Nothobranchius furzeri: one gene and its partner. The protein of the gene in region 2 binds, or shares a complex with, the protein of the main gene of each other region. Links are inferred from orthologs where the notes say so. Each region holds a gene or a part of one and is shown on either strand. Other genes may lie near its edges.

Evidence for each region.
Region 1: strn4 (region 2) and stk26 share a complex: the UniProt entries of both Homo sapiens proteins name them as parts of the core of STRIPAK complex. The link is inferred for Nothobranchius furzeri from reciprocal best matches to the Homo sapiens genes STRN4 and STK26.

What each region holds. Positions count from the first base shown.
Region 1 is NC_091742.1:86,837,466-86,842,498, forward strand, and holds part of stk26 (serine/threonine-protein kinase 26), read left to right. Parts: intron 1-3,428; coding exon 3,429-3,497; intron 3,498-3,575; coding exon 3,576-3,737; intron 3,738-3,914; coding exon 3,915-3,971; intron 3,972-5,033. UniProt on the Homo sapiens protein: Serine/threonine-protein kinase that acts as a mediator of cell growth. Modulates apoptosis. In association with STK24 negatively regulates Golgi reorientation in polarized cell migration upon RHO activation.
Region 2 is NC_091753.1:40,964,844-40,970,314, forward strand, and holds the start of strn4 (striatin-4), read right to left. Parts: upstream 3,398-5,471; 5' UTR 3,262-3,397; coding exon 2,938-3,261; intron 1-2,937. Other genes in the region: ribitol 5-phosphate transferase FKRP, read left to right, coding at 4,829-5,471. UniProt on the Homo sapiens protein: Calmodulin-binding scaffolding protein which is the center of the striatin-interacting phosphatase and kinase (STRIPAK) complexes.

The sequences.
Region 1 (5,033 bases), on a different chromosome or scaffold from region 2:
TACCAAGGACTCTTTTTACTTTGCACTAGGGGCGAGCAATATGGGGGGAAAAAAATCACAATTTATTTGTTGCTAAATCGCGATTTTCTTTCCATTTCAACATTTCAGACATTTTGGAATTTTTTTTTTACCAGTAAAATACATCAATTTAAAAGCACACCACTTCACACAATATATGATGAACTATGCCAGAATCCTAAAAAATATCTCAAATTTCCAAACTCTGTCTGGCTCAGTGAAGTTACGTTTTTGTATTATGTATTTATAATTAGTGTAAAATGTTTATTCTATCTCGAGGTGGCTCATATCCTGTCATCCACAATATTATCAGTAATTATATCCATAGACATTCCCTGACTGTGTGGGGGTGGGGTTTGGCCAGTCTTTCTACACAAGCAGGATAAACAAAACTAAAACACGAACGAACGTCCCCAAATAATAAAATCCACGAAGCCAAATGCAAAGTTTAGAGTAGAACATTTACTGCGAGGTTTCCTGATTGAGCAGTCATGTGAGAATACATGTAATGACTGCTTAAAGACTACGCAAGCTAGTAGCTAGTGCTAGCAGCTATCCGCTATAAGTGAGTATGGTTGCTTTGGCAAAGATTCATAATCGTTTATGTCCGCATCTTCATGCATCGATTATTTCATTATTTTCCTCAGCTTCACTGAGCACCCCCAGCTAAACAAAACAGCACACTGCCTACAACTTGTTCTGATTGGTTCATTGATGTGTCTGTCATGCCGACAGCTGTGGCAAAAGAAAACAATCTTTTATACAGAGCATCTCAAGATGATGGTCATTAGGCACTTCCCAAATGTATACAAATGTACACAAAATATTTCTAAATATTATTAAAAATATGTTAACAATGAGAAAATTTTTCAATTGTGATTAAAAAATATGTAAGGAAAAGGAGAGAGAAAATTCATAGGAAAGAGGGAAATAGGTGGATCCCAGAAAAGGCGGAATAAGAGCAGAATAGAGAGTGGTGATGAAGGTCACAAAAGCCATCCGGAACAAGTGAGTCTTCAGCTGCTTTTTAAAGGAGACCACTGAGTCCACTGATCTCAGGCTCAGGAAGAGAGAGTTCCAGAGTCTGGGGGCTACAGCAACAAATGATCTGTCACCTTTGGTCTTTAGCCTGGTGCTGCCTAACCAGTAGGCTTTGATCACTGGACCTCAGGGACCTGCTGGGGGTGTAGGGACTAAGAAGATCGCCAATGTAAGATGGTGCTTGTCCATGTAAGGCCCTATAGACCAGAACCAGGATCTTGAAATGAACCCTGAAGTTGACCGGCAGCCAGTGAAGCTGGAGGAGAAGTGGGGTGATGTGGGTGTGTTTGGAGGACTTGGTCAGAAGCCGAGCACAGGCATTCTGAACCACCTGCAGACGGTTCAGGGAGGTTCTGCTCAGACACGTGAAAAGAGAGTTACAGTAGTCTAAGCGTGAGGAGATGAAGGTGTGGAGAACTGTCTCAAGTTCAGAGCGGGACAGAATGGGACTCAGCTTAGCAACGTTCCTGAGATGGAAGAAGGAAGAGCGAACAAGAGAACTGACATGAGAATCCAGGATGAGAGCTGGGTCAAAGGTCACACCAAGATTCCTGACAGAGGGTTTGGTGTGAGAAGCAAGCTGAGCAAGAGAGTCTCTGACTTTGGGAACCAGCAACCATTGGTTGAAAAAATGTGAACCTTAATGGACTGCTTATATCAGAGATTTTTGATGCAGTCCGATATAATCCGATACACTGTTTTTGGGCCAATATCAAATTACTTTCGACATCGATATCGGAACGGGACATCCCTAACTTAAATTTGGTGCCCTAAAGAGAAGGAAGCCCCTCTAGGATCGCTGATCAACATGCAGAGCTGAAGCACAGCAGAGAGGGAGGAGGAAGAGCAAATTTAAAATAAATAAATAAATATAACATTTGTGACTTAGACAGAATAACGACATATAAAATACATAATAATTATTTTTGGGCTGCTCAATTAATCGAATTTTAATCCCAATTACCATCTGAGTTTTGAACGATTATAAAAACAAAACAAGCCGATTATTTGCTCCTCCCACTTGCGCTGCCCGAGTTGCAAATGAAGCGCTCCTCCCACAGCTGTGGTTGGGACAATTATTACATTAACTGACGGATCTGTAAATAAATAGTTCATGAATAAGGTATAAATAAGTTCCTCACGCTGATAAATAATAACTAACCTCTCTGAGGACACGGTGCTAGTGCACTCTCCTACAGCACCTTGACACGACTCATTAAATGTTATGCAACATTTTGTGAACATCACTTTATTTGCATGTATTTGTTATAAATGCCACTGCATAATTCTTGCTGTCAGTATTTGCAAGATATTGGTATTTGGGTCTGTACTGGTTAGACTTAAATGAGTTAAACCAAGCAGTGGCGTGTCCAGATCTTTTAGAATGGGGTGGCCCAGGTGAGGCACAACTTTGTGCATGGGTGGCACCAATGGTTATGCTTTTCTTTTTGTTTTACCCCCAAGCCTTTTGTGGACAATGAAAAGCCTATTTAAAGTTAAATTAGTGTGGTGGTACCTGGGGTGGCCAATCAGATTCCAAGGGTGGCATGTGCTACCCCAGACCACTCCCTGGACACACCCCTGAAACCAAGGTCTATAGCCCTTGGGTCATAAACTATGAGCTATAAGTGTATTGGTCTTTTTTATACTGGGAATCGGGTTATTTTAATTCAATTCAATTCAAGTTTATTTATATAGCGCCAAATCACGACAAGAGTCGTCTCAAGGCACTTCACATAATAAACATTCCAATTCACAGTTCATTAAACCAATCAGAAATAATGTTTCCTATATAAGGAACCCAGCAAATTGCATCAAGTCACTGACTAGTGTCAGTGACTATACAGCAATCCTCATACTAAGCAAGCATAAAGCGACAGTGGAGAGGAAAACTCCCTTTTAACAGGAAGAAACCTCCAGAGAATCCTGGCTCAGTATAAGCAGCCATCCTCCACGACTCACTGGGGATTGAGAAGACGAAGCAGGCCCGCACGCACGCACGCACGCACGCACGCACACACACACACACACACACACTAGTAATGTGTCTATAGGTATATTGTGATGTCTTTTAGTGATCATCTTGTTTCTTATTTATTTTTGTCCTGATTGTGCCCTGAGCAATTTTATGACGGAATAAAAACAAATAAAATCAACATAAATTGAAAAATCGTCCTAAATAATCGAGATCTCAATTTCAGTCACCATAATCGTGATTATTATTTTTGCCATAATCGAGCAGCCCTACTTATGATGCTAATAACTGTCCTGAAGGCATTTCTCTAAAAACTAATTTAGTGTTATATCACAATAATTTTCCATCAAAGGAAACACTTTTAAGACAACATGTTTCCGTTTCCTCTCCTCAGAGTTCTCACGTGGATCCAGAGGAGCTGTTCACCAAACTGGATCGAATTGGAAAAGGGTCTTTTGGAGAAGTGGGTCCATTTTCATCTTTGTTTTGTCTCAGACATTCCATTCCTTCCTGATCCTAACTTTTTATCTACCTCCAACAGGTGTTCAAAGGCATCGATAATCGCTCTCAGAGTGTTGTCGCCATCAAGACGATCGACCTGGAGGAGGCGGAAGATGAGATCGAGGACATCCAGCAGGAGATCACCGTGCTCAGTCAGTGTGACAGCCCATACATCACCAAATACTTTGGCTCCTACCTGAAGGTGAGAAAAGACATAGTTCAGGCTGATCCGAGTCTCGTCGGTGACGAAGGTGTGTGTGAAACAGTTAACAGAGAGCAGCCGTAGTTAGTGTCTGCTGCTGGTTTCCAGCATCTGCTTATCGTTTTCCTTTTGCTGCATTTGCTGTAACTTATTAACACAAATGGTTTTCTTGTTCAGGGCAGTAAACTATGGATCATCATGGAGTATCTGGGTGGTGGTTCAGCGCTGGATTTGGTGAGCGAGCTGGATTTATCTATTCAGTCTGTCTGCAGACAGTTTTTAACACTAAAACAACCTTCAGGTTGAGTTTTATGCTAAGTAGCTGCAGTTTAGTAAAAAAAAATTAAATGTCCTCACACTTAATCTTGTATCATCTAAAATATCTGAGACACGATGTTCTCTGATGACAAACCTGAGCTTTTATGTTGCATTTTATCAGCCAGTAAAGTCCAGCAATGGTGCTACAATGTCTTGCCCCGTTAGGTTGGTTTATGCTTGACGCGTCCGCGAGGTCCGCACCGCTCCGCGCGGAAAAGTTGCGTCATTTTGCGTCATCTTAACAACCACGCCCCTCCACCGCGCCTCCGCACGGCCCAGAATTTCCGCAATGCGCACGTCGGAAAATTTCTAACCACGCGGACAGACGGACGCGGAAAAACATGGCGGACCGGCAAGAACTACTACGGCAGAGGTTCGTAAACACAGACATTTGTATGATTCAGCTCTCAAAGATCACCGTGATCAACATGTTGTTAATAATTCTTGGAGAGAAATAGCTCGCACTGTCGGAAAAGACGAGGACGCTGTTAAAAAATGCTGGAATGCCATGTTGTAAACAGTAATTTCTACTTCTACTATGGTGTAGTGTTGGATGCATGCCGTAGAGCTCCATGCTGCCCCCTACAGTTTGGGAGAATATTGGCTCACCGCAGAGACGAGCCGCACGAACCATAAACGCTGCAAGTTGTGAAGCACGTTCCATCCGCGAGCCGCATCACCGCGCGGAAAGTGAATGCGTCAAGCATAAACCAAGCTTAACAGCATGCAAGACTTAGAGTTGTGCTTGTCATGAATCCTCTTACACCTCAGTGACAAAAAAGAGGTTTTGTTTTTCTCCCCACCAAACATACAAAATGTCACACTCGGATTTTGGATCTTTAGCCCCAAGTTTTAAACATCAGGTCAGAGATTTGGGTGTCATTTTTGTTGTTGTGTTGTGTTGAATTTTGACAAGCAGATTGACTCAGTCATCAAGACTAGCTTCTTTCAGCTCAGTTTTAGCTAACGTAAAACCGT
Region 2 (5,471 bases):
GACAACCCTATTTGGGGTCGTTCGGGTCCTTTCTTCAGTCTAGTAGCGGTGGCAGTTGGCCACACAGGTGCCTGATTTTTTTTTTCTTTTTTAAATCACCTTTTAAAAATAATTTCAGCCGATGGCCGATATAGAAAAAAATGTTATATATCGGCCCGATATCTCTAGACCTGAACTAACACATATAAAAACAAACAGCCCGTTCATCAGCTAGACCAGCGGTATCCAATAATAATGACAAAACTAAATGAGAAGTATTAAAACCCTCAGTTTCTATAATATGATAAAAGTAAAAGAAGCTCGACTACAAGGGAACCTCACTGGGAGCACACCTGTTGTGCCATCTGATCTCTTTCCTGAGTGTGTTTTCCTCCATGTAGCACGCTGTCGCTGACCTTTTCCTTTTTGTTGTCTCACGGCGAGCCGACACACATTAGGCCTGTTCTGTCTGCTTGATTCTATGCTACAGAGCAGGGTCAAAGGCAGCGTCCCTTCTCCCGCCGGCCACTTTCCTCTGTCTCATCCTCAGGGGAGAACCCATGAGCAAGCAACTAGAGCAATGAACTTTTCTAGGACAGTCTGCTTTGGAGGAGTGTGTAGAGTGTGTAGTGCTGCAGCAGTCACCAGAGAGCAGCATCCTAAAAGGATGCAACTCAAAGCTAGAATACATTGTGTTTATAATTTTTTGTTGAATGATGGGAAAAAAATGTATGTGTGGGCAAAAAAAGCATGGTGTATTATAATCCACTTCACAGATGTCATACATGTGTCAGAGCTGAACTATTAATTAAACACGTGCAACCAAGGGGTCTAAAACCCACACTCAACAGGAAGTGATGTCATCTGAGTCACCAGTGATCTATTGTACGTCGCTCTTATCAGTAATAAAACTAAAGGACAGGTAACGATCTGTTTTCCCACTGAAGTAAAATAAATGTTCTGTTTTCTTCCTTTTTGAAAGACAAAGAAACATGTTGTCCACCCCAACATGTCCTCAGTACTGCTGTCCCGTGTTTGACCTGAGACATCATACATGGTTCAGAGAGAGGGGGAAACTTTCATTACTGGCCTGTCCACTGAGACACAAAACCACAGGTGGCCCGGTGGACTAACCACACACTCGCAGAGACCGCACATGTGTTGTGGCCTCACGGAGACGTGCTGTGCTACAAAGACATCCCAAAGCTGCACCAACGATAGCGCTAAAGGCCTCGATGATGGTCTTGCAGTCCAGGGAAGACTCAGCGTAAGGTTTCATGAAAACCTTGTGAAAGTCATCACATAAAACGTCACGTGTAACAACATGTGACCATATTATGCATGCATGTACAGTGTGCTGTTAAGTGTGCAGGCCAGAGCCAACGGGCACGCTCACTGGCATGCTGAGCTCTTCAAGCGTGCATGCAACAAAAGCCAGAGGCCTGTGGGTGTTAAAATGTAAGGCAGGTGAATCTTTCAGCCCAACACTCCAGCGATCTTCCCCTTCCTTCAGACAGGATGCAGCACTAATCGTACCAGAAACCAGATCGGCCATCAGCAACCACGGCCTGTTTCTGATTTCCCTTCTGTCTGCTCCACGTGCCGAATGAAAGCTCAGCCAGTTTGTTATTGTTCATCCATTTTTTATCCTTCTATTTATAACTACAGAGGTTTGAATCAGGGGCACACAGAGAACAGGAGAGCAAGTGATGTGCTTTTAAAAAAATATATATATGTTTTTACATTTGTTAAGCTTTGTGAGCTCAACAAGATAACTCAGCCTACTGTAATTACAGGGAAACTGTGGTAACAGAAGTAAACCCGCATATGGGTCCAAGAAGGAAAAACAAACCCTTCTAAATGTGAAGCAAAAGCGCATTTTAACACATAACTTTCTAGCATTTCTTAATACTGGAAAAAAGCTGAGAAGCAAACAAACTTTTTCCCACAATGCTCTGCCTTAAGGTTACATTACATCCATGCAGGGAACTATCTTCTGCTGCTGGCATCTAAAAAACAACTGGGACCACCGAGGGACTCAAGCTTTGCTCAGGGGCCTTTTTTAGACCACTGACTCACATATCACAAAGGTTTTTCCAGCCACTTTTACAAACACAAATCGATGACCTTTCAAGATGCGGGCCCACTTATTACCACAAGACAGACACACCGCTTATGGCCTGGTCAGTGGAAAGTCATTCATTTAAAGATTTCCCCTGCGACTCATTTGATTGTTTGATAAAAATGTTGATTTCATACCACACATAGCTGCAGATTATTGTTGCTTATGATCAATGATTCTCCTCTGATCGGTCTGTAAAGTTCACAAACCAATCCACATTTAGACAAGACTTTTCCTTTGAGAAAAAACCATCTAAATATCACAGCTGTGTGTCACTGTGACATCATCAGCAACCACAACTGAACAACCACATGATTTGATTTATTTTTGTGGGGTTTAATCAAATCTGGTTATTGTCTGCTTACAGACTAGTTCTGCACGTGGATTGCTAAACAAAATTATTTTTGGAAAGGTTGTGGCACAGAAGTGTATTTGATGTGTATGCACATGAGGGAAAGACAACCACACCAGAAGTATTTACCTTTCTTTGCAGTCGCTTGCTTTTGCAGGTCAGAATTTATTGAAGGGACTCAGAAAACTACGTTTTATGTGTTTCACTTACAGAGGATTCTTGTAGCAGTTTTCCATGAGGGAAGCATCAATTTAAGGTCATGTAGCGCCTCCACTTCCGTTTATTGAATAGTAATTATCCATCCTTCTCGATGCAATACGAAAATGTGTGATGTTAGCTCATTAGCATGTTCTTCCTCCGCCTGGCACTGATTCTTAGGAATATTAACAACAACAAACCAGGCTAAAGCTGCCCCTAAAACAGCCTTGCTCCTCATAAGTCCGTGTTAACAACAAAACGCACGCTTTTAGGTGGATACAATTACCCTGAGTTCGTCCCTCTCAGCCTCCCAGCGGTATTTCTCGGCCTGGAAACGTCCCCATTCGTACTGGATGAAGTGCAGGATCCCGGGAAGCGTCATACCCGAGGAGTCCCCGTCCTGTGCCTCCCGAGGTTGCACAGACCCGGGAGCCGCCACGGCTGCTGCCGCTGCCGCAGCTACTGCTGCCATCGGACCAGCCGCGGCGGATGATGTCGTCTGGCCCGGTGCTGCTTTCGGCCCGTTTGGGTTGCGCCCCGCTCCGCTGCTGCTGCCGCCACCGCCTCCGGAGTTCGGGTTTGGTCCGCCGCCGGATCTGTCCGCCTCCATTTTAAACGTTCAACCTCTCGCCAGTACAAGGAGGTGGAAACGGGCAAGACCGATCAACAAAAATAATAATAAAAAAGAACCCCCTTCCCCTTTCTAGCCCACGGTTCTTCCCCAAAAGCGACCCTCTATTCTTCCTTTTCTCACACAGTAGAGTAAAATTACTATTCACTTGGTAAAATACTACACTTCCGCTATCAAACCTTCACAATAAAGCATAAATCTTGACACACTTTTCGAATATCTTGAATATTTTGTGGCCAGAGGAAAACATTACACAAATACTTTTGATTCGACAAAAACGAACAAATTGCACTAAAGTATAGCTATCTGGTATCATTGAATCAAAAACAATCACTAACGTTGTAATTGCGACTCTTATTTTTACTACTCTTACTTCCTCCTCCTTGTGTTCGCTTTACTGTCCAATGTAGTTGACAAATAAAGGGACGTGTATTCTCTAGTACACAATGAGCACGTCTTCTTGGAAGTTGATTTCCTGCCATTTTGTGAACAGGGGCGTTTGCAGATAGTAAAGTTTTATGTGTGTTTCACTACTGCTTCCGGTTCTTTATTTTGATAATTTCATTACATATTTTCCGAGGTAAAATTAAAAAGAAAACATTCACTGGGGAAAAAATATAAATTAAGATATTTTTCTTACTGTGACAAATTCAACAAATCTGGAGTCCTGTCATTTCACATGTGGAAGGTATTCAACCAATGTAATTGTATTTGTTTTTGTTTGTGTGTGTGTGTGGGGGGGGGGGGGATTTGTATTATTTAGTGAAATACTGCATTTTTAAGAGATGTTATCAGAAATTGGAGTTTTGAAGCCCACATGAGTCCTTTTGTTTCAGAATTAAAAATATTTGTTTTTATTTTGAAGGAAGATGACCGGAAAAGATTGTTGTTGCTCCGGGCAACAAACCAAAGTATGCTAGCAAATCGCTAAAATCATTCATCAGGCTTTCTCGTATAAACTAGCGTCTTATTGATTTGATATCCGCATTTAGTTGCCGCTTTATATTGGTGTTTTGGGAATTGTCAAAATATACATCACATTTGTACATATTTTAGCGGTTTAATATCCGTATTTGCTGCAGAGCTGGTGCACAACGGCATTTGTTACTACAGAGCTACACCTCTGAAAACTACTGCTTGACGATGGCTCCATGTCTTCAAAAGTCCATCTTCTATCGAATATGATCACATATTTTCAAACAAAAGTAAGTTATGGTAGAATTTACTATCTCGTTTTATTGACTGGTACTACAGTCGTTGGTTGATTTTACTGTACATCTTACTCTTTCAGGAGCATGCTTATGACTTTTCAGAATTTAGAGATTTGTCACTATAACATATTTAATTTGTGCCATAATAAATTAACATGATTTTAATGCATTATAACTGTTGCACATAAATATGAGTGTTTCTCTTTGTTTTGTTAGTTTGTCTCTAAATCCCATTCATCCACCTTCAAACCCATGGGGACCAGAGACCTGCCGCTGGATGCCTTTACTGATACGCAGTTTTTATTTCAAGCATCTCTGGACTAAATTCAGTTGCCATGCGCATCACCTTCTGCCAGACTCTGTTAACTGGTGCCATCATCGTCAACCTTCTAATTCTCTATTATGTATCCCGGGCCCAACAACAAATGATGGAGAAGAGGAAGGAGCTTGGCCATGGCACCAGGAGGGCCGCTCGGCCAGTCTCTGGACTTGGAGGAGGACTGGGATTTGTTGGAGGAGCCGGAGGTGAACATGAGGGACACAGTCGAAGCCCACGTGTCACTGTTCTTCTTCGGGAGTTTGAAAACTTTGAGAATTACGTAGGCGATGTGGCGAATTCCTTTCTTCATCAGCGACCAGAGCTTCCCTTCCTGGCTGTGACCGATGTGTTTCCATACCCTCCCCTTGTGCTTCCCGAGGGCACTCGGCTTCTAGTGCTCTCCCCCAGCCCAGAGCAACCACCGCAAGCTCACAGGCCAGAGTTTCACGTGCAGACGGAATTTGTGTTGCTGGTGCCTGATGGAGTGGAGCTGGAGCAGCCGCGAGTCATTGAGCGGCTGATCAGGGAGTTGGAAGGGGAAGGTGGAGGTCCTGTGAGGCTGGTAGCTGCACCGGTTCTAGCTCGATCTGCTGTGCAGTGTCTCCACTTGCGGGTGAACCTCAGAGAGTGGACAGCCACCTACTCACCCGCAGCATCTG